Drosophila melanogaster: one gene and its partners. The protein of the gene in region 3 interacts with the protein of the main gene of each other region in a pairwise test. Each region holds a gene or a part of one and is shown on either strand. Other genes may lie near its edges.

Region 1 (9,165 bases), on a different chromosome or scaffold from region 3:
TTTTGTTTGTTGACGAGTTTTCCGAACGTAATTGTGCATAAGTCTTTTTAAACCCTAACTTGACATAATAAAGTGCTTGGGCTTGAGGTTCTACAACAAAATGGCGGATAAACAAGAAATGCTTAACCCATATTCTATTGAGAGTAAGGAGGACACCCTTTATCGTGTTGCGTTGTAGATTTTCAAGTTCAAGGACAGCGAACTGTGAATTTCGGTGGCTATTTTCGAGCTTGCCGGCGCAATCCGTAATCCTTAGCTTAACTGGCCGCAAAGGGGTGGATGTGGCTTTTAGTCGGAACTCCAAGGGGGAAAATGTTTTGGCTTATTGTATCGAGAATTGCGGAACCTGAGACTTATTTTGAATAGAGGTTATTCCTGTTAACATTAATTACGTTTTGACAAATATCTCCATTCCTTTGGTTTCGATTTCCAATTTAAGAAGCCATTAGAACTCTCAACGGGCCCTCACAACACAGGCTATCGTTTGCTTAGCACCTGTCTTAGTCTTTCATTTGTAATGCCATGTGAGAAGTAATTAGCTAAATTAATTTGCGATACAGTGCGGAACAGCGTTGTAATGCCATAAGTACTTGCGAAGACGTATTTTTACTGCATTGCTAAGAGCACATGCTCTTTAACGGATAATAATAAAAGTTGTATTACACATAAATTTTAGTTTTTAAAAGTTTTTCTTCATATATGTGTATCACATATTTCTTCAAGTGTAATTGTACTTAGGCATATCGAAGTGTAACCATACACCCATTCACATTGTATTTGAATATTCACCTTCTATTTGTTTTTTGCGTGTTCCAAAGGTCCAAGTTCAATTTCAATGCCGACTCACAATTTGATTCCAGTTAAGCCGACATATAAGCTGATTGAAATGAAAATTTAATTTTAACTTCTCCTAGTTTCCAATGGCACGTTACTCCTTTTATGAGTTGTCCAGAGAAGCCATGACAATTCATATCATCTTGTGAAACTTCACGTTTGCATACAATAATACGGAATTGGCACTTCCTGTGTCGTAAATTATGCATTGACAGAATAAGTTCCTTTTGCATTGGAATGAAGACAGGACAAGCGAAAATGGGTCTTGCACTTCCGCAATTGATTTAATACATTTAACATCACTTAATATTTCATTTCACAACCATTTTGTCTCGTTTTCATTTTCCAAAGCTATTTTCACCACATAAATCACGTATATTTGTCATAAATTGCTACAGCTATTCAATAAGTAAACCATTTTCAGCCAGGAAATATTCTTTTATTGCTATTTGCCAATATCTTCCTCATTTCCAGGGAAAAAGAATTCACAGTTCCATATACATTTTTGTCCATTATATGAGCTCCCATTGTGTGATTCTGTTGCAGAATTTATGAATTTCTTCTTTAAATGGAGCGCTTTTCCATTAAGCTGCTGCAATTGAATCAGAATAAGTATCATACTACTGGTCTCTTTTAAATTTGTTAAATTGTTTAAGAATATCAAGTGGTGCCTTTGCCATAAATGAACTTTCACCTGGCAATGTTGGTTCAGTTGAACGTATTCGCACATGCTGAAGATTATGACACACAAAAGTTGGCAGGAAAGTTCACTGAAACTCCGCTTTTCCTTGAATGGCTATATGTAAAATCAACATTAAACTTGCTTTCTGGTAAAAGCCTTGATTTTTTTTTATCAAAATACAAAACGGTAGTACGAAATTCGGAAAACAAGTCAGCTTTCGTCTAAGTCCTTGTAGCATTTCGATACCTTGAAATGGTAACTTTCTAGGAATAATAATATACATATATAAATATTTAGATCTGAGAGTATTTTAAGAAAACTCTTCTTCTTTTTATTTTTACTTGTGTATTTTGGTTTTTACGTTGTTTACATCCCTGGTTGTAAACTTATTTATTTATAAATGCTGAATATCGAATTTAGAATGTGCTGATGGTTGTGAATATTCGATTTGCTTCACTGGTAATGGGCGAGTGCCTCCTTGTTAATAACGCCCGCATAACTGGTGTACTTCGGCGAGGTTCCATTGAGGGCGATGAACTGCTCCGCCACCTCCACGGCAACACGGACCTGCGCCTCCGAAGTGCTCGCGCCCAGATGCGGCGTGGCCACCACCTTGGGATGACTGATGAGGGCCTTGGTGACCGCAGACTTTGGCGGCTCCTCGGGATAAACGTCGAAGGCCGCGCCGGCCACTTTTCCGCTCTCAAGGCCATCGAGCACGGCCTGCTCGTCGATGATGCCGCCCCGGGCCACATTCACCACCTTAACGCCCTGTTTGCACTTGGCCAGTGTCTCCGCCGATATGAGATCTGATGGGATTCAGCAAAGAAATCTATATAGTTTAGCTTGAATTTTATGCATACTGCTGTTAAATGTTAATCTCTTAATCTCTTATAAATATTCTATCAATGCGCGACTTACTTCTGGTGGCTGGGATCAGCGGCGTGTGCACGGTTATGTAGTCCGCCAGTGGCCAAATCTCCTCCAGCGTCATCTTCTCGATGCCCGCCGCCTTGGCCTCAGCCTCCGTGGTGATGGGATCGTAACCAATAATCTGCAAAGCACTCAGAGTTCGATTAAAATTCCAAAATAAGTAAATACCCCATTCAAAACACACCCGCATGCCCCAGGTCTTCATCCGAATGGCGACCTCGCGTCCAATGCGTCCCAATCCGAGAACGGCCAGGGTTTTTCCATACAGCTCTGTGCCGGCATAGAGCTTCCTGTCCCAGCGACCCTCCTTCATGCTCTGACCGGCGGGGACGACGGGACGGGCCAGGGAGCCAATTAGGATGCACGTCAGCTCACAGGCCGAAATGGAATTGCCACCCGGAGTGCTGAAAGCGACGAGAGTTTAGTTAAACATTCCCTAAATGCCTCGCTAGACACTAGCTGTTGCGCTAAGTTGAGCGTTTCTGGTGGGCAAATGGGTGGCGTTTGTTGTGACTAGACAGCATTATGCAAATTCCGCCAAAAAAGAATTGAATGGGAGGTGGGAAATATGGCAATTTTCCAGCTTTCCAGGACATCTGACATGGATGTGGCCAACCCAGCACCCACCACCCACAACCCATAGCCACCCAAACACCCACGCAACTCCATCGACACTCGTCGTCCCTTAATTATGCGTGTCAAACGGCGTCAATTGACCCAAGTCATGGGTATTCTGGGCTGGGATGGCATATCAACTGCCAATCCTGCGATTCGGAATGCGCATAATTATTTGTGAGCTGCGCCATCGGAGATTACACTACGCTGCATACCATAAAACACTGCTAGTTTGAATACCCATGTTTATGATCATTATTGAGATTACCACAATTTTACTGAACAGTAATATTTCCTCGCAATTGATAAATCTGCCATAAAGGGCTACATAAATTCATTTCCGAGAACAACTAATTAATATTTTCGTTCCATAAATTAGAAACTGTTTAAAAATGCAAATAAATGAAATCGGAGCCGAAAATGGATTGAATTGTTTACCAACTTGAACTATAAACAGAATGGTAAAATATCCATGAAATATATTGCATGGCAAGAGCTCTAATTAACCATAAATAAGTACTTTGTACTGTTTGTACTTTCTATATCAGACTTTCAGCTACAAATACAAGTTGGTCTTGTGGCATAGTGTTCGTGGCTACTCTTTTCCCGCCCTGCAATGCACCGGAGGCTTACGGAGCACTTACTTCAGGACAACGACATTTTGCGCTGTGGCTGCGGGAACATCGATGTTGTCAACACCCGCCCCCGCACGGCCAACGACCTTCAGGCTGCCGGATCCGGCGGCCAAAACTTCCGCGGTTATTTTGGTATCCGAACGAACGATGGCTGCGTCGAAATTCTGAAATGCGGTGTAATTTAATAATTAGCAACTGGGTAAATATAAATATTTGTCATCTAATTGCCTAACTCATTTCCCTGGCCATCTGGATGGCATCGATTACTGCTTTCTTCTGGAAACGTGATTGATACCACCTAACACCTGTACTTTATCATAAATAAAAGCAATTCGTCTGGCGTATGTATGTTTCTGGCTAAGATTATTGAACCTCTTGATATTTTCCGGCAATTTGTGATCCTACTGGAAACAATTTATTTAATGTTGAGGCAACATCGTCTGATCGGCCGTTTGATTGATAAGAACTATTGGACCGATAGTAATAAATGGTGATAACAATGTCTGGCCCAATTGTTCACAGCAGATTATTGCCATTTAAAAGGAATAGTTTTTTTTATTTTGTAGAATAAAATCTGAAAGTGCATTTCGAAAAGTGGTTTAAAATGCTGGGCAGTTTAAAATGAACAATAGAGAATAATATAGTCGAGATACTCGACTAGCAGATACCCGTTATTTGGTTTGTGGGAGTGCGAACGAGCGAAATTACAAAAATTCTTTGGTATATCGATAGAAATTGTCAAAATTGTGGGCGTGGTAGTTTGCGTTCAGACGGGCGGACAGAAGGACGGACATACCGACTTGGCCAATGAATCTAATCAATAATATATATATAATACTTTATATGCTTTCCTGCTACCTGTTACATAAATTTCAAAGAATCTAACGGGTATAAAAACCATTTGGTTCAGACTAAATTCTTTTTCTCTCTGCGAACGTGAAAAAAAATTTGTTGTCAAGTACTTATTTTCTGACCCTTGCAATTTGCTTTTATGTTATTCAATAAAATCACCAATTAAAAGTATCCGTCTCTAAATCAAATAAAATTCAAAACATGCATTCGTGCCCATACAGACATGAAGCGGTTTAACTAATTGAGACAAACATGCTTGTCAAAATTTAAAGCTGTTTTCGTGCAAGAGAAAACAAATTTAAATAAATTATGAGAGTAATTGATTTTGATTTGAAGAAGCCACAAAATGTTTTTTTCTAGTTTTTGTTTATTTTATCTTTATAACTGCGGTGAAAATATTCTCTTAGCCATTAACCCAATAAGGCTTAAAGTTTGGAGACAAGGAAAATAAGATTTGTAAAAACATTCTATATTCCATAACAAAGATGATAATGTTAAAAAAAGGGGTCAATTCCTTATCATTAGTTTTAATTTTGTTAAATACAATCTCCATACTGCAGTAGTTTTGAAATATACTTTCGGTTTGATGTGCTTAGATTGCTTAGTTACAGACTAATTGAAATGTTATTATTATGTAACGCCCACGCGTACTATCATATATGTACACACACATATACAATGCACCCATATCTCAGAGCGTTGCACATGTTTTTAACCACACTTGAATCATTCGCAAAGCTTTCATCCCAGCGACTTAACTCGTTCATATACATCTGAACGTGTGTATGTATTTACTTATTTACCTGTACTGAAATCCCTAAGCCACTTACCTTAACTTCCTGACACAGTTCCTCCACGGGGAGCTTTAGTTTGTAGGTAACCTTGTCAAAAAAAAAGAAGGAAAATATATGGTCAACAACGTTGATTAAATTGTGCAATAAATTAAATGCACTTATTTTCTATTTGTCCACTTCTAAGCGCTTTTACATGCTTGCAAATTCACATACAGTGTGTACTCGATAAGTAAAAGCAATCGAATAGCTTAATTTAAATGAATTGCATTGTAGGCATAGACTTTCAAATATTTAATATCTTTTTAGTGTTAGTTTTCGTCGAAAAAACATTTTTTGTGTGGTTATACTTAGTTTAATTATTTGTATTTTTATCCGAGGGCGCACTGTACTTTTGAGCACTTGTATGGGTGTAAGCTTTTGCTTACTCCAACAAATAATCGACTGTCACGTCAGGGGATTGGCGAACCTTACCTTAATCCCATGCTGTTCCAGCAGCTCCACGCAGGATTTGTCCACAGCATCGCAGACCAGCACTTTTCTTATATTGAGGGGCATATTTGGGTGGGTAATGAATACACTGAAAAATCTGGACAACCGGTAGATTGCGTTAATTTTTGCCAATTACTTTCCGCAACTCACGATCTGCGCCGCCGAGCAAACAAATTGAACTGACTTCGAGAGTGGGTTTCTCGGGCCATCGAACCTGACTTCGAATGCCTCTCGCCGGTGCAGTGCGATTGTTGTTTTTTCTGGGTGATAACCAAACCACTGAGAGGATCGGAGAGCGCCACTTGGATCTTAAAGTTCTCTCCTTCTTCTCGCGCGATTTGTTCTTCTTGAGTGTGCGTGTGTGAGTTGTTTTCGATTTTTGCACGCAAAACAACAATTTTAACCCACGGACGACCCTGTGATTAAAAATGATTTAAAAATTTCAGCTTTTGTAAAAAAATATGGCAAGCTTTCTAACTTTAATTGTATTATGCATTTATTTACTTTCTAATAGGGTTCAAAAAAAAGTACTTACCCATATAATCAAACTCACGCCGAATAGATAAGACTGCATTTATTTTTAATATTTTTATTGTATTTGCTTTTATTTGCAATTTAGCTTTCATTTAACTACGTATTTTCCAAAAACATATTGTGAACAACATTTGAATGCGGAAAATGAAAACGAAAACAACAAAATGTCGTCAAGGTGATGGCAGGTATTCATCCTTAACATTAAATTAAAGGAATCTTACAAAGTTGTTAACAAAATAATTAGGTAACAAATTGAAATATCATTAACTATTTACATACAATTTTTGAAAATTGCTGATTGGATTTTAGTTACCGTTTTTCTCATTTTTTACAATATGTATATGTTTTGTATGTATAAAATATTCTATATAAATTGGGAGCGGTGTTGATATTTCCACCAATAGTTCATTTTTATCTTTCCAGGGTATTCGGTGTGGGGATCTTTGGTTAATAATATATTGATTACGGAAATTTCATGCGTGCTCTTGTCAAATTTTCCACCTTCTATTCCAGTTCAATAAGTTATTTAGGCTAAAAAAATAAGGTTTGCTTTTCTTATTTAAGTGGCTTTGAAAAGTAGAGAAGTTATTACCGCTAAATTTAATTATATATAGGCGTATCTTTAAAGTTTCAGTATGCTTGCTATAAAACTTGTTTGTATGTTTGTGTTTTTTTTTTATAGTTTTCAAGAGTGTCAACAAATCGAAATTGCTTGGTTTGGTTTTCATTTGTTTTATTATAATCGGAAATAAGAGTTTATTATTACAAAAAAATTGCTATACTTTTGAAGCAAACCAGTTTTACTTCTTTGCAGACCTCTGTCCGTCTGCTAGAAGGTTATGTAATGGAATATATGAATTTATCAAGTTTAGTTTTCGAAAACTTTCAAAGAACTTGAGTTGAGAAATTTAAGGCATCTTACAAAATATCTTCAACATATTCCTATCAGATCTGATGAAATTTTCATGGCAAAGTTCACCTTTCCGTTACCAGAAAGTATCTAACAATATCTGGGATAATCAGTTATTTTTTAATCAATATTATTTTAATTAGTTTTTGGATTTCACGCTTACAAAATGCCGGCTGATGTATCTTTATCGGTTTAAATTTTGTTAATTATGGCAAGAACATACATACATATTTATATATGCAGCTCTATAAATGTGTGTATCTTTTTTAATATATACCATTATAATATATTGAATTACCAGTTCTGTGAATTATGTGCAATATTCTAACATACACACTTCTCATCAACTGACCATTTAAACTTAAGTTTTCCGCTTGTCCCCTTCTTAGCTGCAAAGGATCGTATCTAGTTTTGTTTTTAACTTTATGCTAGTATTAAAAAGTAATATTTCATTTAGGTTTAGCTAATACATAGATCATTTTGCTTTGCCACTTTTTACAAGAAGTGCTTGTGTATCGTTTGCTGCGTTCCGTTATATATTTAAATTTCAATTTGTTCCTCGTTAAAGCGCCTCCAGTGCCTTGGTCAACCCCATTCAAATTCTCTAGGGGATGGGAGGTGTTCTCCCATCTGACCTTTTAAACCCTCCCTCTCCTGAATGTGGCTAACAATTTCAATTAGGTATCTGTATTTGTCGTGCGCTGTTCAAATTTACTTTCTGAAAATTAGTTATATCACCTTGTATCTCTTATATAAAAAAGTACTAGATTTTTTCTGCGGGCAAATTGCCCGACCTGTCACTAAACTCTGACCCCGTGTTACAGGATTCAGCTGTTGTCCTTGGACAGTAGGATGGGTTCTGTGGGTGTGCTTACAGATCAAAACTAGCTGAACATCGACTCTTACTCGAGGTGGTGGCGATCGATTTGAATGCAGTGCGGTTCATCATTGTTGGGCGCTAGCTCAGTTCGACAACTAATGATCGACAAATTTAGCATGGTGGTTGGAATTGTAAAAGGAGTGCTCGTTCGGAATGGGCCAGATCAACGACTATCGTCTCAACATTACGTGTACAATTCAAAACTTGAACAATAATTTTGACGCATTCGACTTTAGCGATTGGTGGTGGTCAATAATGATCTAATGGGGCGGCGGAAATGCAGAATATCTGGGGTGGAGTGCTGTCGTGTAACTCGATTTGATGGATTTATAAGGCACTGGTAGTTTAAATCGCTATACCTAAACCTGAATCGATTTTCGATCCTTATCCAGGTTGCAGGCCCGTTCGCGGCTAGTTCAACTTGAGTTTTGAACTGAGATCGCGAACTGTGCGCTTTGGCAGGTGTGTGGCATGATATGGTGTGGCAAGGTATCTAGGTCGAAAGTATTGCTGTTGGAAGTTGAAATTGTGTACAATGCGTTTCATTCAAGATATATAATACAAATGTTTAACAACTAATAAAATGATAGTATTAGATGTACGGCCGTATTTAAGAAATATTCAGTTAAAAACTTCAAGCTTAAGCTTTCAAAATTATAGAATAAATACATTATGGATATATCAATTAATTTCAACTCATGATCATATGGCTTTGAGACGCACTGTAAGTGTAAATTTTTCTGTGTAGAGAAGGAAAAGCGCTGGATGCGAGAAATAGGTATCGGTTTGAGATTAAAGAGATTTCAATCGGTTCACAGTCAATTGAGAGTGTAAGAGTGTGTGTGTGTGTGTCGAGTGTGTGGAGGTGTGTTTGTGTGGCTCGACTTAGATTAAGACACGTTCACTAAATTATTAAAGCTGACACTTATTCATGTACTTAGTCAATCGATTGCATAACAAATACGAGACCCATTTGGGGACCAACAAATCCTGTTGGCTTTGGTTTC
Region 2 (7,667 bases), on a different chromosome or scaffold from region 3:
CATGGTTGTAAACTTCTAAGAATCAGGGATTAGCGCTTCAATTAACACCAGATAAACCCTTTGTTTATTTAACTAGAAGTTTTCAATAAGAAGCTTACAACATAAATACTTAACTTATATGCATGTCGCATGCGCATTTAAAAGATATTTCTTTGACTTGTCAAATTTTGCATATAAAAAATTGAGAGTGCTGCGCGTATATGTTGCATCTATTAAAGAGTATTGCCCCCATTCGTTGCTTTTGCCCGTTGCCAACTTTTCTTCGTTCTGCTGCTGTGTTGTTGTCGTGCCACAAGCTTATCATAATTAAGCAATTTATATAATTTGTAATTATTTTTTTTTTATTTTTATCATCCGCATGACAACTCTGTGAAAAAATGTACATAAATATGTGCAGACGGCAGGAGGTGCCCGTTTTGGCGGAGGAGTCGAGGAAAAATAAAGTCGAGATAGATCGCTTTTAGGATGGGCCTGCTAAGAGAGATGCAAAGCATAGAGATACGGAGCCGCTGAGATACAAAGATACAAAGCTACAAAGATACTAAGATACAAAGATACTAAGATACAAAGATTCGGATGCACATACAAAACGCCAAAGACTTGAAACCGCCTTGTGATTTATATATTTACTTTTGTTTATACTTTGTATGTTTCTCTCTATCCCCTTTTTTGTTTTTATGTTGCTATTTACACATTTTTTTCTTTTGTTGTTTAACTAAAAACTTGCGCTAAGTTTACAAGAGGGTTTGTTTGTTTTGTTTTGTTTTTTGCTGGAAATGTAACCTGCTGCCGCTGATTTCTTGTGGCGATTATGGATACACGATAATTGGAGGCAATTACGATCGGATCTGGAGGTTCAAAGTCAGGGTCACAGAGCGCCGAGACTTTGCCATCAAGTCAATCGAGTGGTTGTGTGACCTTCGAAACTACATATTGTACACCCTGTTTTTTTTTTTTTTTTTTTTTTTGGCAAATTCAATCTTACTCGAGATGGCAGGCCAAAAGGAGGAGATCTTGTGCTGTGACTTTGAGGTGCGTGGCAGGGTGCCCAAGGATGCTTTCGAGCTGTTTGCACTGGTCCAGGCCAATGCACTGGGACTGCGGGGATTCATTGCCCAGGTGTCGGAGGAGAAGTTCAAGGGTCGTCTGGAGGGCGAGGGCAAGGTGATCGATGCCTTTAAGAAGCTCATCCTGGCCGCCGCCGATTACGTGCAGGCCATCAAGGAGTTCATTATTAAGAATCTGAAAGTCATCCAGGAATACACCTACAAGACCTTCGAAATCAAGGTGAACCTAAAGTGATTAAAGGATCAAACAAAATAAAATATTTCCAATGCATAATTTTGTTTAAAACGGCTATCAAAAGTTTTATCCATTATGATTTGTCTAATATTTTTGTTGTATGGATATAACAAGGTATTTTCCAAATAAAAATTACACAGTTATATAATCACAAATTCAAAAGAGTTTCCTAAAGAGCTGATTTATACAACAAGCAATTTCCCAAAGAGAAGAACCTGTATGAAAATGCCAAACTTTTCATGGGCTCATTGTGGATTGAATGATTATTGTTGCGATTGCTGGATCTGGGCAATTCTCCAAATGACCCATGGATTCTCACTTACGAGTACTCCATCGTTGGTTCTAGGACCCATTGCGATCGTGACGAATGAGCTAATGATGTCCATGATCCGTGGGAGGGGATAACCTTGTGGCCATCGCCGCCGGCGATCGGATATCAAATCGAATCGCATGCCTCGGATGCATATACTCGTAGTAAGCTAGCGATGTTCCCGGCTGTTTGGCATGCAAATCGAAGAATCTGATCGCCACCTCGATCGACACGATGAAGGTGTACCACTGGACAACAGCGAACATATAGCCACGGATGGTTATTTATGCGTTCGCGGATACAACTGCCGATTCACTGAGTTCCAGACTTCTCAACCAAATAGCACTGGTTAACAGGCCAGTGAGAAGTGGTAGATTTGAAGTTTAGTTTTTCTATATTAAGAAGATCATCTTAGTCGGCTAAGCACAAAACGTTACCATCTCAACACTGCACATCGGGGGGAATTATCAAAGTGTTCTTTTGTAGGCCAGTGTCGTGTATCTGCAGTGATATATGGACAGCTAAACTATCTTGGCTCAAGCAACGTTACAATTTTATGGGTCAATTTGCGGACGGCCATTACTAGAATTTGTGTGTGTGTGTGTGTGTGCAACAGGTAGCCAAGTGTGTTTTACACAGAGGAAATTAAAAAATCCTTGGTATAAAAATCCTTCCTCCTGAGAAATCTTAAGGTTCAAATATATTCCAGTGAAGAAACTAACCAAATATTAAATACTATTAAATTTTAAATACTATACTATTAAATATCAAATACTATTAAATATTTTAAAGAATTATCTGTAAGTAATACAATTTTCTCGCTGTGTATCTATGAATGTAAGCAATGAACCTATATGCGAAAAGCCACAAAATTGAGGGAAATTAACCTAGGCGGCGACTGCGACTTGGACTAATGCGGTTGCCGCGAACATATATGTTTATACATATGTTTGAATCCCAAGTCTGGATCCGAATCGGTATCCAAAATCAGAATTAGCCGCTTAATTGCAGCGCTGTGGCAACGCCAGCAAACCGGAAAGAACGGCGACAATGATTGCCAATCCGATTCGCAAGCAATCAGTGCTGACTGTACGTCATAACACCAATAGAAGCATAATTAGTATAATTATAAGTTATAAAAAGTAAAGAGTATGAGAAACAGCTACTACATTTAGTACACAATACATTGATCTTTTGGAAAATATGCTTATGAAAGTGATTGAATCCTTAGCCAACAAGTTAAATAACTGCATGAATCTCTAAAGTACAAGTTATATTCTTCAATTTTCAAGTAATTCGTACACATAAACGTTTGCAATCGAATGAGAATGTCATTTCGAAGATGACTCTTTTTTTTATAAGCTTTTGAAAAAAGCTAAGCTCTCATCTCTGATCGCCGGCGCGCCGCAGTCGCGTCGCAGTCGCCGTTCGCTGCTTCCAATTCCGACGCTCTGCAGCTCAGTTTGCTTTGAGCGCTGGAACGCGAAAGTCGTCGACGGAGGGCCAACGTTGCGGATGAAAGTTTCGAAGCGAACTGGGAAGATTTTTGAAAAGCGCAGGCGTGCAACGGTTTTTTTTTTTTAGTTTTTCTTTTTTTTTTTTGGGGGGGTTTGGGCTACGCTTCGCGGCGAGCGGTGAATGGCAGCCTTTTTTTCGAGTGTGGTGGCTGAGTGCAATTCAAAACGCATTTCGTGCATAATTTGTGGAATTTTACGCGTTGTAAAATCAATTTCATTGTGCAAATTTGAAAACTTGCCTGCTTTCCGTTGGCTTTCAGCGGCAACAGCTGAAATATAATGCAGCCACATCAAGCGGGCAAGCAATAAACAAATATCAAAAAAAAAAAAAAAACCAAGAAAATTTACAAAATATAAAAACACACACATTTGAAGAGTCAACAACAGCGATTACAAGGCACTAAAAACCAAAGGAAGAGGTGAGCAAATATTTCCATTCATTTGTTATTCTTTCGTTGGGCTTAAAATATTTTCGTATTTTTTTTTTCTTGTTGCTGTCTGATTTTTCGTTTATTTTGGTTTCGCTGATTTTTTTAATTCGAATGGAGTACACAGAAAATAATAGAATATGTTGAAAATTGTAAGATTTAAACATAATAATATATTTATTATGTGGCATTTGAAATTGAAAACGTGCTAAAATCAATTTGAATTCGACCTGCCTAGCTTGATTAGAACAAAGTAGTACATGCTCTTTTCGCACAGTGTGCCTATCCCAGCTGGCTCACACACACACAGGCACACGCACAACCTCTTTAAAGTTGTCGCTGTTGTTGTTGTCCTCATTTATCTGGACTCAAAGAGCTGAAGTTCGGAGTCGCGGACTCAAAAACTCTGAGCCGTCGTCTTCGATTATTGAGCCGTTTGACTTTTTCCCAACTGCCAGCGAACCTGTTGGCCCCACAGGCAAAAAACAAAAACTACAGCGAAAATATATACGAAACTGGTGAAAAAAGTAGATATATATACATATATATATATATATATATGAAAAAAAAAGATGAAAAAGATGCTCTGGTCAGCCTCTAGAAATAAGCAAGTATCTGTCTTTGAGCTCTTTTCTCTTCTCAATCTTTTGCTTTTTTGCTTTTTTTTTACACTCGTAAAGCCCATAAAGTGCCGCATATACTTGACCTATCCGAAACTGCGGGTTCTACCCGGGGGGAATGGATAATGGATAATGGATAATGGATAATGGATAATGGTCGCCGAAGTGGCCGAGTTGCTTACTGGGTTGGGTTGGCCAGTTGCACTTGGCCTTAAATCGCTTTATTTTACCTGGAAAATCTCTAATTCGTTCCGACGGAATTCAGCGATTTTATGTTGAAATGTCAAGTGCAGAAAAATAAAGTGGTTCTAATAAATATGCAAGTGAAATACATAGATCACTAACAATCCCCTAGATACCTCTTAAAAAACGATCTTTATTTTAAATATACTCATATATAAAGTTTATGAATATCCTTAGTGAATGCAGTAAACAGAAGGCAATATAATATGTTTTTGTAAGTGAAATACTACTTATTTAGAATAATATTCTATAATATATTTGACAAAGACCTGATTTTTTGTTCACTGTGCAATCTGCTTTTGGGTTGAGAGCAATTTTCGTTTGGATTTGGCCCCTCCTCGAGGCCCCTTTAAAAATTATTATTATTACTCTGCCGCATCATTATCGCCGCGCTTGAAATCTAATTTCTGCCCCGGCCACAATTTGCCACACGATTTTGTTTAGTTGTGTTATGTTTTGTCTTATTTCATTTTCTTTGTTGCGAGCCCCAAAGGAATTGAAAGTGCGCGCGCATGCGCAATTAAGGCCAAGTGCGCGCAAAAAAATATATATACGAGTAAATTCACAAAAAAACACACAAACGTCAACTGGCAGGAAAAAATGAAAAACAAAAAAAAAAAAAAAAACAAGAAATGAAAAAAAAAATAACATAAAAACAGGGGATCGTCGGCGGAGGAGGCTGAAGGCTAAAGAGCAGAAATTCACTTTTTAGTTTCGTGAAAAAAAAAACACACAACAGAACCCAGAAGAGAGTACCACATACCCCCCATCCAAATAAAAGGAAAGAAAAAAGCCAGTTGGTGAAAATCCAGCGCATACAGGTTATAAAGATTTATGATCACTTTTGATACCGTCCGCCGTCCACTCGGCCTTCCAATGTAGGTGAAGCTCAAGTGAAAGAAGATAACGTGGCTTAGTGCAGATGAAGCTGGCTCGGAGCGACTGGGCCACGAATGTGGCCACAACGCCATATAGCCATATAGCCAGCCAGCTATGCCCACTTAGATTCAGGTCATCAACGCCGGCGGGCCATTGAGAAAATCGCGATTTCTTCGAGGAAATCCAACTGAACAAGAGCATCGATAAATGTATTAATTAATAAGAGTAATGGCAAAACAGTTTAGATTTAATTAAATTGAAGTACAACCTTAGTTTTGGTTAACAGGATAACTACAAACAATATTATTTGGCAAATAATTAAAAGTGTCTCATTAAGGCCTCAATCAACACTTCAGTTTATTGACAATGATTGATGGGCCGAATTGCTTGAGGAATGGGGTCAAAACTATTGATTTAACAACATATTCGTTACATTCATGTTATTTGCTTTTTGGTATAAGTATATATTTTTTTTGTAATTATGTATGCGCAATTAGGTAATATATGTCATAAAGCATAGATAAATGAACCTAACCTTTATTCGAATGAAATATTTTACACCCTCGTTATACAAATATCTATTACTCATAATAAAGGTCACGCTCCTGTTGTTTTATTGCCCGCACAATCTGCTTTTTATATAGCCCCATTTTACACATAGTTATCCATCGTGATTCATTTGATTGAATCGTGTTGCAATCATTATGCATTCAAACAAATAGTTTCCACTTTGTATGCAATAGTTAGCCAATAGATCACTTAATGGCTTCTTAATTGGCAGTTAACGCGAAATTGGCAGCAAAAGTAGATGTGCAAGTGTGTTTTTTTTTTAGATTCAATTCTATCTTGTTCTATCAAAAACTCAAGCAATTTGGAGTTTATTCACATAAATTCACTGAGTGAACTGCGTACTTCATTTGAATATAAAGCGTGTGTTCAGTTTTTTGCTTCACTCATTAGCTGAAATATAAATTATATTAGTTTCAACTGCTATTAAACAACATTTGTTTGCCTCTTCCATCAAACTGTAAATCCTCACTCTTTCACTCACTGCACATTCATTAAGTTGAACTTCTTATCGCATTGCATTTAATTACTCACTTCGCTAACAGATTTTCTCACCATTCATTTGCTGCATTAATTCATGTTTTTGCATTTCCCCCCTTAAAAAAAAATTAAATGTATATACATACGTACATATATCTTGAAAGCGAGAAAGGCAAAAAAAAAAAAAAATAATAATAATAAAAAAAATAACAATTACCAAGGCAGATAACTCATTAATAACTTGCATGGCAAAAGGTATTTTTAATTTTGTTGCCGAGCATTTTTTGTTACGGTTAATGTTGGAATAACTATTCATGAGACTTAAACGGGTTACTGCTGCTCCGCTCGTTGCTTTCTACCAGCCGACAAATGAACAAAACCATACAAAAATATCACAAATACACCCACAGCGTAAAATCCAAATACAAATCCAAATCCAAGACCATCCATCCATCCATCCATCCAACCAACCATTCAACTATCCATCTATAACTTTTGGGGTCTTTCGAGTGTTTTTTGAATGGCCCGTGAATGCGGGCTGCCAAAAATCGAGAAAAAAAAAAACACAAAAAATAACACAAAAAACTAACTCGAAGAATGGTTATTTGGAGCTCTTTCGCTATATATAGCAAACCGAGTCGGCTTTGTAGGCCCAATTGACCTTAAATTATTGCCCTAGCGTTGGCGTAATGTTTCAAAATTCTCGCATAATACATATACTTAAGGTGAATACTTGGGCCCAGCATATTTATTTTGGCTTTTGACCACATTTGGCCAATGGCCAATGAAAAAAAAAAAAAAAAAAAACATGCAAATCGGGTTTTTATGATACATACACTGTGCTGTTGCCTTTCGCGCTTTTTTTTTCGCTCAATTAACCTGCGATATCCGGCCAGAAAGCAACCCGGGCAATTACAAATGCAGAGCAGCTCCAGCTCCACATCCAAGTGGTCGTCATGCCACATGCCACTTGCCACATGCCGCATGCGAGCTTTCACTGATCCAGCCAAGCACAACTGGGCAGTTTGGATCGGACTCTGATCCTAGATCCAAGATCGCACAATAAAAATCCAAAAAAGAAGCAAAAAAAAAAAAAAAGAAAATAAATAAAAATAAAATAAAAAGAAAAACGTGGGCGAACTTTCCCACGTCCAAAGATTGCGGAGCAGCTGCACAGTGCGAAAAAGGGAGGGCAGTAGTATATGAAAAGAAGCTATTTATACATATATATATATATATATATATATATATATATATAATCAAACCGAAAAGCACTTGACGACTTTCTTTGAAATGAAGAAATCTGTTGGGCTGCTAGAAA
Region 3 (6,332 bases):
CGTCTGGGATCTGTGTGCCCCCTACTCCATCAAATTCTACGGATTGTTTGCCTATTGAGCTATTTTATCTTCTGGTTTCGGGCATTAATTGTTCGCCTCCGTTCGAGCGTTGAAAATTGAAAATATTCTCCCACGTTCTCGAGCTGCACACGTGTTCGAGAAATGGAAAACGGATTTCCCCCGCCCCCCGGCTCCATCATTGTCCGTCCCGCTCGCACTGCCTACATAATGAGATAAGTGCACATAAAAACCAAAAGTGATCGGCAGAAAAAGGGAAAAAAACGAATCTCCTTGTCAAAAAGGATCCTTTCGAACCGAAACTGTGGGAACTGGTAGAAAGTCTCGTTTCTCACGATCCTGCAGCAGGATAAAATTGCCCGCACCTTCAACAGGTGCGAGCGGAGCGACACTACATGCCGTCACACTCCGACGCACGCAGGTTAATGCCGATGCAGTCCCTTTTCGAAAAACACACCTGCCGTTTTTGTTGTTGCCTCGCCATGTATCCGCACTGTGTATAGGATTTTTCGGGACACGTATCCTTGTAGTTTCCCACACTCGGTGTTTTGTGACCTGCTCGGCTTCGGGTTTCTCCACGTCCTGGCGAGTATAAAAGGACCCTGGCTCGGAGGATCAGGCATCATTCGAGCTCAACGCTTCGTACAGTACACATCTCAGCTACACAGCAGCTAAACACAAAATTCCAAAACACATCATCATGTGCCAGAACAAGATCAACACCAACAACACCATGACCATCAAATCGAACAAGAAGCTGTCCTACAGCGTGAAGAAACTGCTGCAGAAGATCTTCAAGCAGCAACAGCGCGTCGAGGAGGAGCAGAACCTCAAGAACGCCCTCAAGGCCAACTCTTTGGAGTCTCTGGAATCCATGGAAAACAGCCGCAACGCCGATCTGGAATCCGCCTCCATCTGCGCCTCTCTGGAGTCCTGCGAGAACGAGGCCAACGAGCGTCTCTCCCAGTCCTGCGAAATTGAGGACTACGACTTCGAGCAACTGCCCACCGTTCCCGTTCACTTCGTCCGCACCGCTCACGGCACATTCTTCTGGACCGCCGTCTCCGATTTGCCAGCCGACAACGACCTCGTCGAGCCCCTCTACTGCAGCACCTCCAACGCCATCGCTATCCCCCAGGATCGTTGGGTTCAGGCCTAAAAAATATCAGCGTCCTGCAACCTGCATCCATCATCCGGCAACTATGTCTTCCATTGGATCTCCAGCTTTAATCAACGTCTTCCGTTAATTTTTGAAACCATTCCACAAAAATTAACACGCAAGCCGATCAACTCAACTGAAGAGCTTTACAAAAATTGTGATACATTTTACTTAACAAACACAAAAAAATCAAAATATATATACAATTTAAATGAAATCAACCACTGTTTTTTTTACTTTTAATCATTGATAAATCGTATGAAATGGGCCTTCTCTTAAATCACACATTTGGAAATTGGTAATCTTTACCAAAAATTGTGTTACATTTCACCCAAAAAAAAAATAATTGAATAGGAATCTAAATTCTTTGTTTCCCCCTTATTGTTCCAACAATTTTCCGTTTACAAATCAACACAGAAAATAAATGGGGAGCGAAGTCCTTTCTTAATTGGCATGACTCATTTGAAAAACGAGCGGACCCTAATCCGATTCGATCCTGAACCTTTTTTGGTCTTATTGTTGATCAATTTACCTGCCAGCAGGTAGTGCATATTGACGGTTGTTGTTTGGCCTGTTGATTTGGACCACAATGCCAACCAGTTATCGGGCAGGTAGAGAGGATCTGTTGATTGCCGATCAGATTGGTGGTAAGAACAGGCTCCAATTAGATGATCTGCTTATGGGAATGAATCAGGGTCGAGTCGAAAATGTGTTGCATACATTTGAGGTGATGTTCAATTAAAGGTAATTTATTGGGGCAGTAAACAACATTGGCGGACTGGGACAAGAATGAACAGTATTCCGTTAGGTTTGCATAATATCGTTCAGTTTGTTTATATTTATTAATATAACAAAATAAATATTTTATAAAATTTTGAAATCCCGCAAAAGAAAAACATTGTGTTTTCAATTTAAATCATTTATTTTATTTGGGTAGTGTATTTTTGATTATTCTTTCTCAACTAATCATAAATTAACATTTATAAATTATTTAAAGCTTAATATATGCTAAACAATAAAGAGAGCGCAACGAGATATTAAACTTAGGGAACTTTTGGAGTAGGAAAATAGCGCACTCGAATATATATTCACTGATTGATTGATCAACGTACTTTAGTTATATCACAGTTGAAATTAAACAATTAATTTACAAATTACCATTATCGGAACTAAAACTAAAAGTATTTCAAAACCATTCAGAAATCGATTAGACCTCAATTAACTTAGGTTGATATGATTTACTTTGGAAGACAACGGATCTTGTTGCAGAACGGTCAATAGCCATTTTTTTGGGTTGCGATTATAATATTAGGGATAAGATCCATATTGGGCACGCCCAATTACCAGGGCCTCCAGACGGGCTCAGAGGCGCCGGACTCCTGCGAGCTAACCGACGCCGTCTCGGATAACGCATTGCCATCGACGGATGTCACATCGATCAGTTCGTCCTTGCTGGTCAGGAAGGAGCTGTAACTAATGGCGGCAGCGGCGGCTGCCGGTCCATATCCTCCCAGCAGCGGGAAGGCTAGGCGGCCTGATGATTGCGGTATTTGCTGCTGCTGGTGTTGTTGCTGTTGCTGCTGCTGCTGGAGCAACTGCGTCTGCAGCTCAATTAGTCGCGTCGATAGGAATTTCATTATCTTGCGCCCAATCTCATCGGTTTGCTGTGTCTGCAGCAGGACCTGGGTAATCTGATCGGCAGCATGCACATAGCCGGAGCGAAAGGACTCCACGTGGGCGGTACTGGTTGAGGTGGGTGGGCTGCCAACACCAGCCACTACTCCCTGCAGCGAAAGACCACCCCGCTGCTTGAGTTTCCTCATGTGATCCACGGTCAACTCCAGGATATCCGCCTTCTCCAGCCGGGTGACGTGCTCGCCCTCCTGCTGCAGGCACTCCACCATCAGATCCTTGAGATCGTCCAGACACTTGTTGATCCTGGCTCGCCGTTTGCGCTCCAGCAGCGGCTTCATCACCTTGCGGTACTGATACGTCTTGGACATCTCCATGACCATGATCGATTGGGTTGTTTTATGTTGTGTATTTTAAGGATTGTTCTTTTGTATTTAGTCTCTCAACTGCACATTATCACTACTGATTTTGGTTGGTTTCATAGATTGGTTACTTTTTGACGAGTTTGTTGCGCGTGCGTTGCGCGTTCCACCGATTGCGGTGCGTTCGAGTGGCGGCACTTTTACGAAATGAGTGGCAAACTAGTTCCCAGCCCTACTTTTATATGACAGCCACGCTCTCCCGGCAAACGGGGATCAGGCTCTCCCGGCCACAAAGCTCCCGCATGATCACTCACACACGCTCCCAGGCACTCGGGCCCAAGATCGAGTTCCACTTCGGTTCTTTTCGGTCGCGGATCGGTAGCGGCGCTCGGCAGCGGCACAAAGAGAGGCTACTGTAGGCCATCGATGATGGGGGTTGTACCGTCTGCAGGGGGTACAGTGGGACCATCACCATGGAACTCTTTACCTTCTTAATTATGCTTATTATAAAAAATAAGAAATAATCCATTTTAGCAATGCGAATATAATATCAATATTTTTCATTTCCAATAGTGTTAAATTTGTGTTCTTTATATTTTGCTACAACTATTTTTTATATGACTCTCAAAAGTATGCAACATAATTGTTCAACCAAAAGGACGATTTAAAAATTTGCTAAATTTTAAGACCTGAAAGAAAGCAATTTCAAAAAATATTAATCACTTACAAAGTTAATAAAACTGCAATTATTTTCGTAAAATCTGCTTATTGAAAGTAATACTATTAGTCCAAAATTAGTATTATTAACCGAAACTAGTCGACTTCGAACCAAGGTGCATGCAATGGGAGCGAGCGAGAGCGTGCCCCGCCGCAGATACAAATGTATCTGTATCTGCAGCTTTGGTGCTCTGGCGCGCGTCGTCTTCAATTGATTGCATGGCCAGAGGGAAACTGAGCAGTCGGCAGTCGACAGTCGGCTTTCGGATTGGATCTCATTCTCGGCGACTGCGCGTGTCTCTCAGGCCGCTCCACCCCGCCCTCCATCCCCCCTCATCCATGTCATACTTATTGTCAATGATGACAGTGCTCGGCTCCCATTCGCTGTCGAAGTCCGCTGCTCCGTACCGCTCACACCAACAATGAGAATGAGACACGAGGGAGCCTACGAGGCAGTAGCCTATGTGATTGTGGGTCCCATGGCTCAGTGGATGGGGATGGGTGTTTGTGTGTGTGTGCGGTGTGCCTACTTTACGAGACCGTGGGAAACAGATTTGTCGTGTGTTTCCCACACGTTGGACGGATGGCTGGATTGTGATGCGATCCGATGGATTGCTGAAATGTTGTTGCTGTTGCTGCTGGTTGATTTCAAGCGGGTTGACTGTCAGCCGCCAATGGGGGGCAGTGGGCGAACTGGTGAGGGATGGCTGGGTGGAGGGGCAGCCTTAACTCGCGCAATTATGTCGCATGCTTGGCTGATGATGATGACTGCGACAACTGCACGTGGACAAAATGTGCGGTCTTTTTGGGAGTTTAAAGTAGATTTGAAACAATTTCAATAACAGCAACTATGTTAATTACCAATAAATATAGATCACCCCATTTCGGAAGAATGGAAAATATATATATTTTGATATTTTACTTATAACCGAATTCAAATGTAATCAGTTTTTTTTTTTAAGTTTTCAAATATTTCTCACAGTGCACAACCACCACTATGGCTGGGGCTGTGGGTTGACTTTTCGTTGAAGCGTATCGATTAAGTGTAACAGTTTCGCTATCTCGGCGCATTGGGGGTTCCAAAATGAAAGAAATAAAACTCTTTTTGCATAGTCCGATTACCAACCCTTCGGCATTTGTCGCCTTTCGTAATAAACTTTAACATCCGGTTGTCGTTCTAAGATTCGTTTTTCGCCCGTCCTCCACATATTTCTTTTAATTCGCTGATCTCAGGGCTACTGGTCAGCACTGAGTGTATAAAATGTTGCCTGTTTTTTATGCCCCTTTTTTCACAGCTGCTGTTGGGCCGACTTTATCACCATCGCAGCAATATGACACTTGTGGTTGGACGCCTCGGAGTTATTTTTTGTGGCCGTGCTTTTTGCCTGGCTAAGCATTTCCCATGATGCTGCAGAATCGCTCTGTTTGTTTGTCTTCTGGCCATGACTTCCGTTAGCCGTTTGGCTTGACTTGGCTTGCCTTTCTGCTGACTGGAGCCATAACAATTAAGACTCTCAAGGCATTTCGATGGTTCGCCTTTCAAGATGCCTCAACTTTCAACTCGACCGGCACACGTGGCGTATGAGTAATGCGAATATGCAAAATAATCACGCAGACACCGATGGACAGAAATAGAGAGACCGCAAAACCATTTTCGACTAACCTCAATGCACACTAATTGCTTGTCATATATGCCCGTCTGTTTGTCTGCCGATGTATATATAGTTTTGCACAAAACTTGTTGCCATCGCCAGTCGTGTGAACCAAAAGCTTAAAAGCCAAATAGTTGCTGATGGGTAAAGGCAGTCTTGACGGGTCATCGATTAGCGAATTGCCAATGCTCTTGAGAGATATAATAAATTACATTAAGTCCCCATTAAGATAACTAGTACTAGTCTGTAAATTAAAAAATTTTAAGTAAACATATGATATTTAATATTAATATTATAACAGCAGTTTCCTAGCATATCATGAAAGTCATATCTTCCTGAATCTATGTTCATATGTCCCAAAGACCCATATAAGAGAGAGTATGAATCGCCTAACGACTACCAGAGTCCGTTGCTGAAAGGCACAAGCCCAGGCACAAGCTGGCCTCTGTTGGAGCTGCAATCGCAATCGCAGTTGGAGTCGGTGCTGGCTTGGAAGTCGCGCTACGAGTTGGAGTCTCAGCCGGTGTCCGTGTTGCCAAGTCAGTCGCTTTCAATTTGGCAAACGTGCAGTTCAAAGCCTAGACGCTGATTGGGGGCAAAAGTGCGCGGGCTGGTGGGGTAAGGGAAGTGCTGGTGGTGTTTCAGCCAAGATTAATAGCGGCCAAAGGCAACAGAGTCAAGTCGCGTCGAGAGATCTCTGGTGCGCAAGCGTGCGGTGCACACGCGATTGGCACGAGTTTCGGGCACAAAATATATATATGAAGAAAATTAAAACCCGATTCGTAGCTGAGC

Evidence for each region.
Region 1: the proteins of E(spl)m3-HLH (region 3) and CG6287 interact in a two-hybrid assay, tested with the Drosophila melanogaster proteins (one large-scale study listed by BioGRID).
Region 2: the proteins of E(spl)m3-HLH (region 3) and CG15365 interact in a two-hybrid assay, tested with the Drosophila melanogaster proteins (one large-scale study listed by BioGRID).

What each region holds. Positions count from the first base shown.
Region 1 is NT_033779.5:11,149,702-11,158,866, forward strand, and holds CG6287 (uncharacterized protein), read right to left. Parts: upstream 6,021-9,165; 5' UTR 5,901-6,020; coding exon 5,817-5,900; intron 5,433-5,816; coding exon 5,382-5,432; intron 3,864-5,381; coding exon 3,709-3,863; intron 2,854-3,708; coding exon 2,634-2,853; intron 2,571-2,633; coding exon 2,438-2,570; intron 2,326-2,437; coding exon 1,970-2,325; 3' UTR 1,805-1,969; downstream 1-1,804.
Region 2 is NC_004354.4:9,063,389-9,071,055, reverse strand, and holds the start of CG15365 (uncharacterized protein), read left to right. Parts: upstream 1-3,072; 5' UTR 3,073-3,548; intron 3,549-7,667. Other genes in the region: CG44325 (uncharacterized protein), read left to right, coding at 398-464; CG10970 (uncharacterized protein), read left to right, coding at 991-1,302.
Region 3 is NT_033777.3:26,018,880-26,025,211, reverse strand, and holds E(spl)m3-HLH (enhancer of split m3, helix-loop-helix), read right to left. Parts: upstream 3,390-6,332; 5' UTR 3,193-3,389; coding exon 2,518-3,192; 3' UTR 2,085-2,517; downstream 1-2,084. Other genes in the region: E(spl)m4-BFM (enhancer of split m4, bearded family member), read left to right, coding at 719-1,177.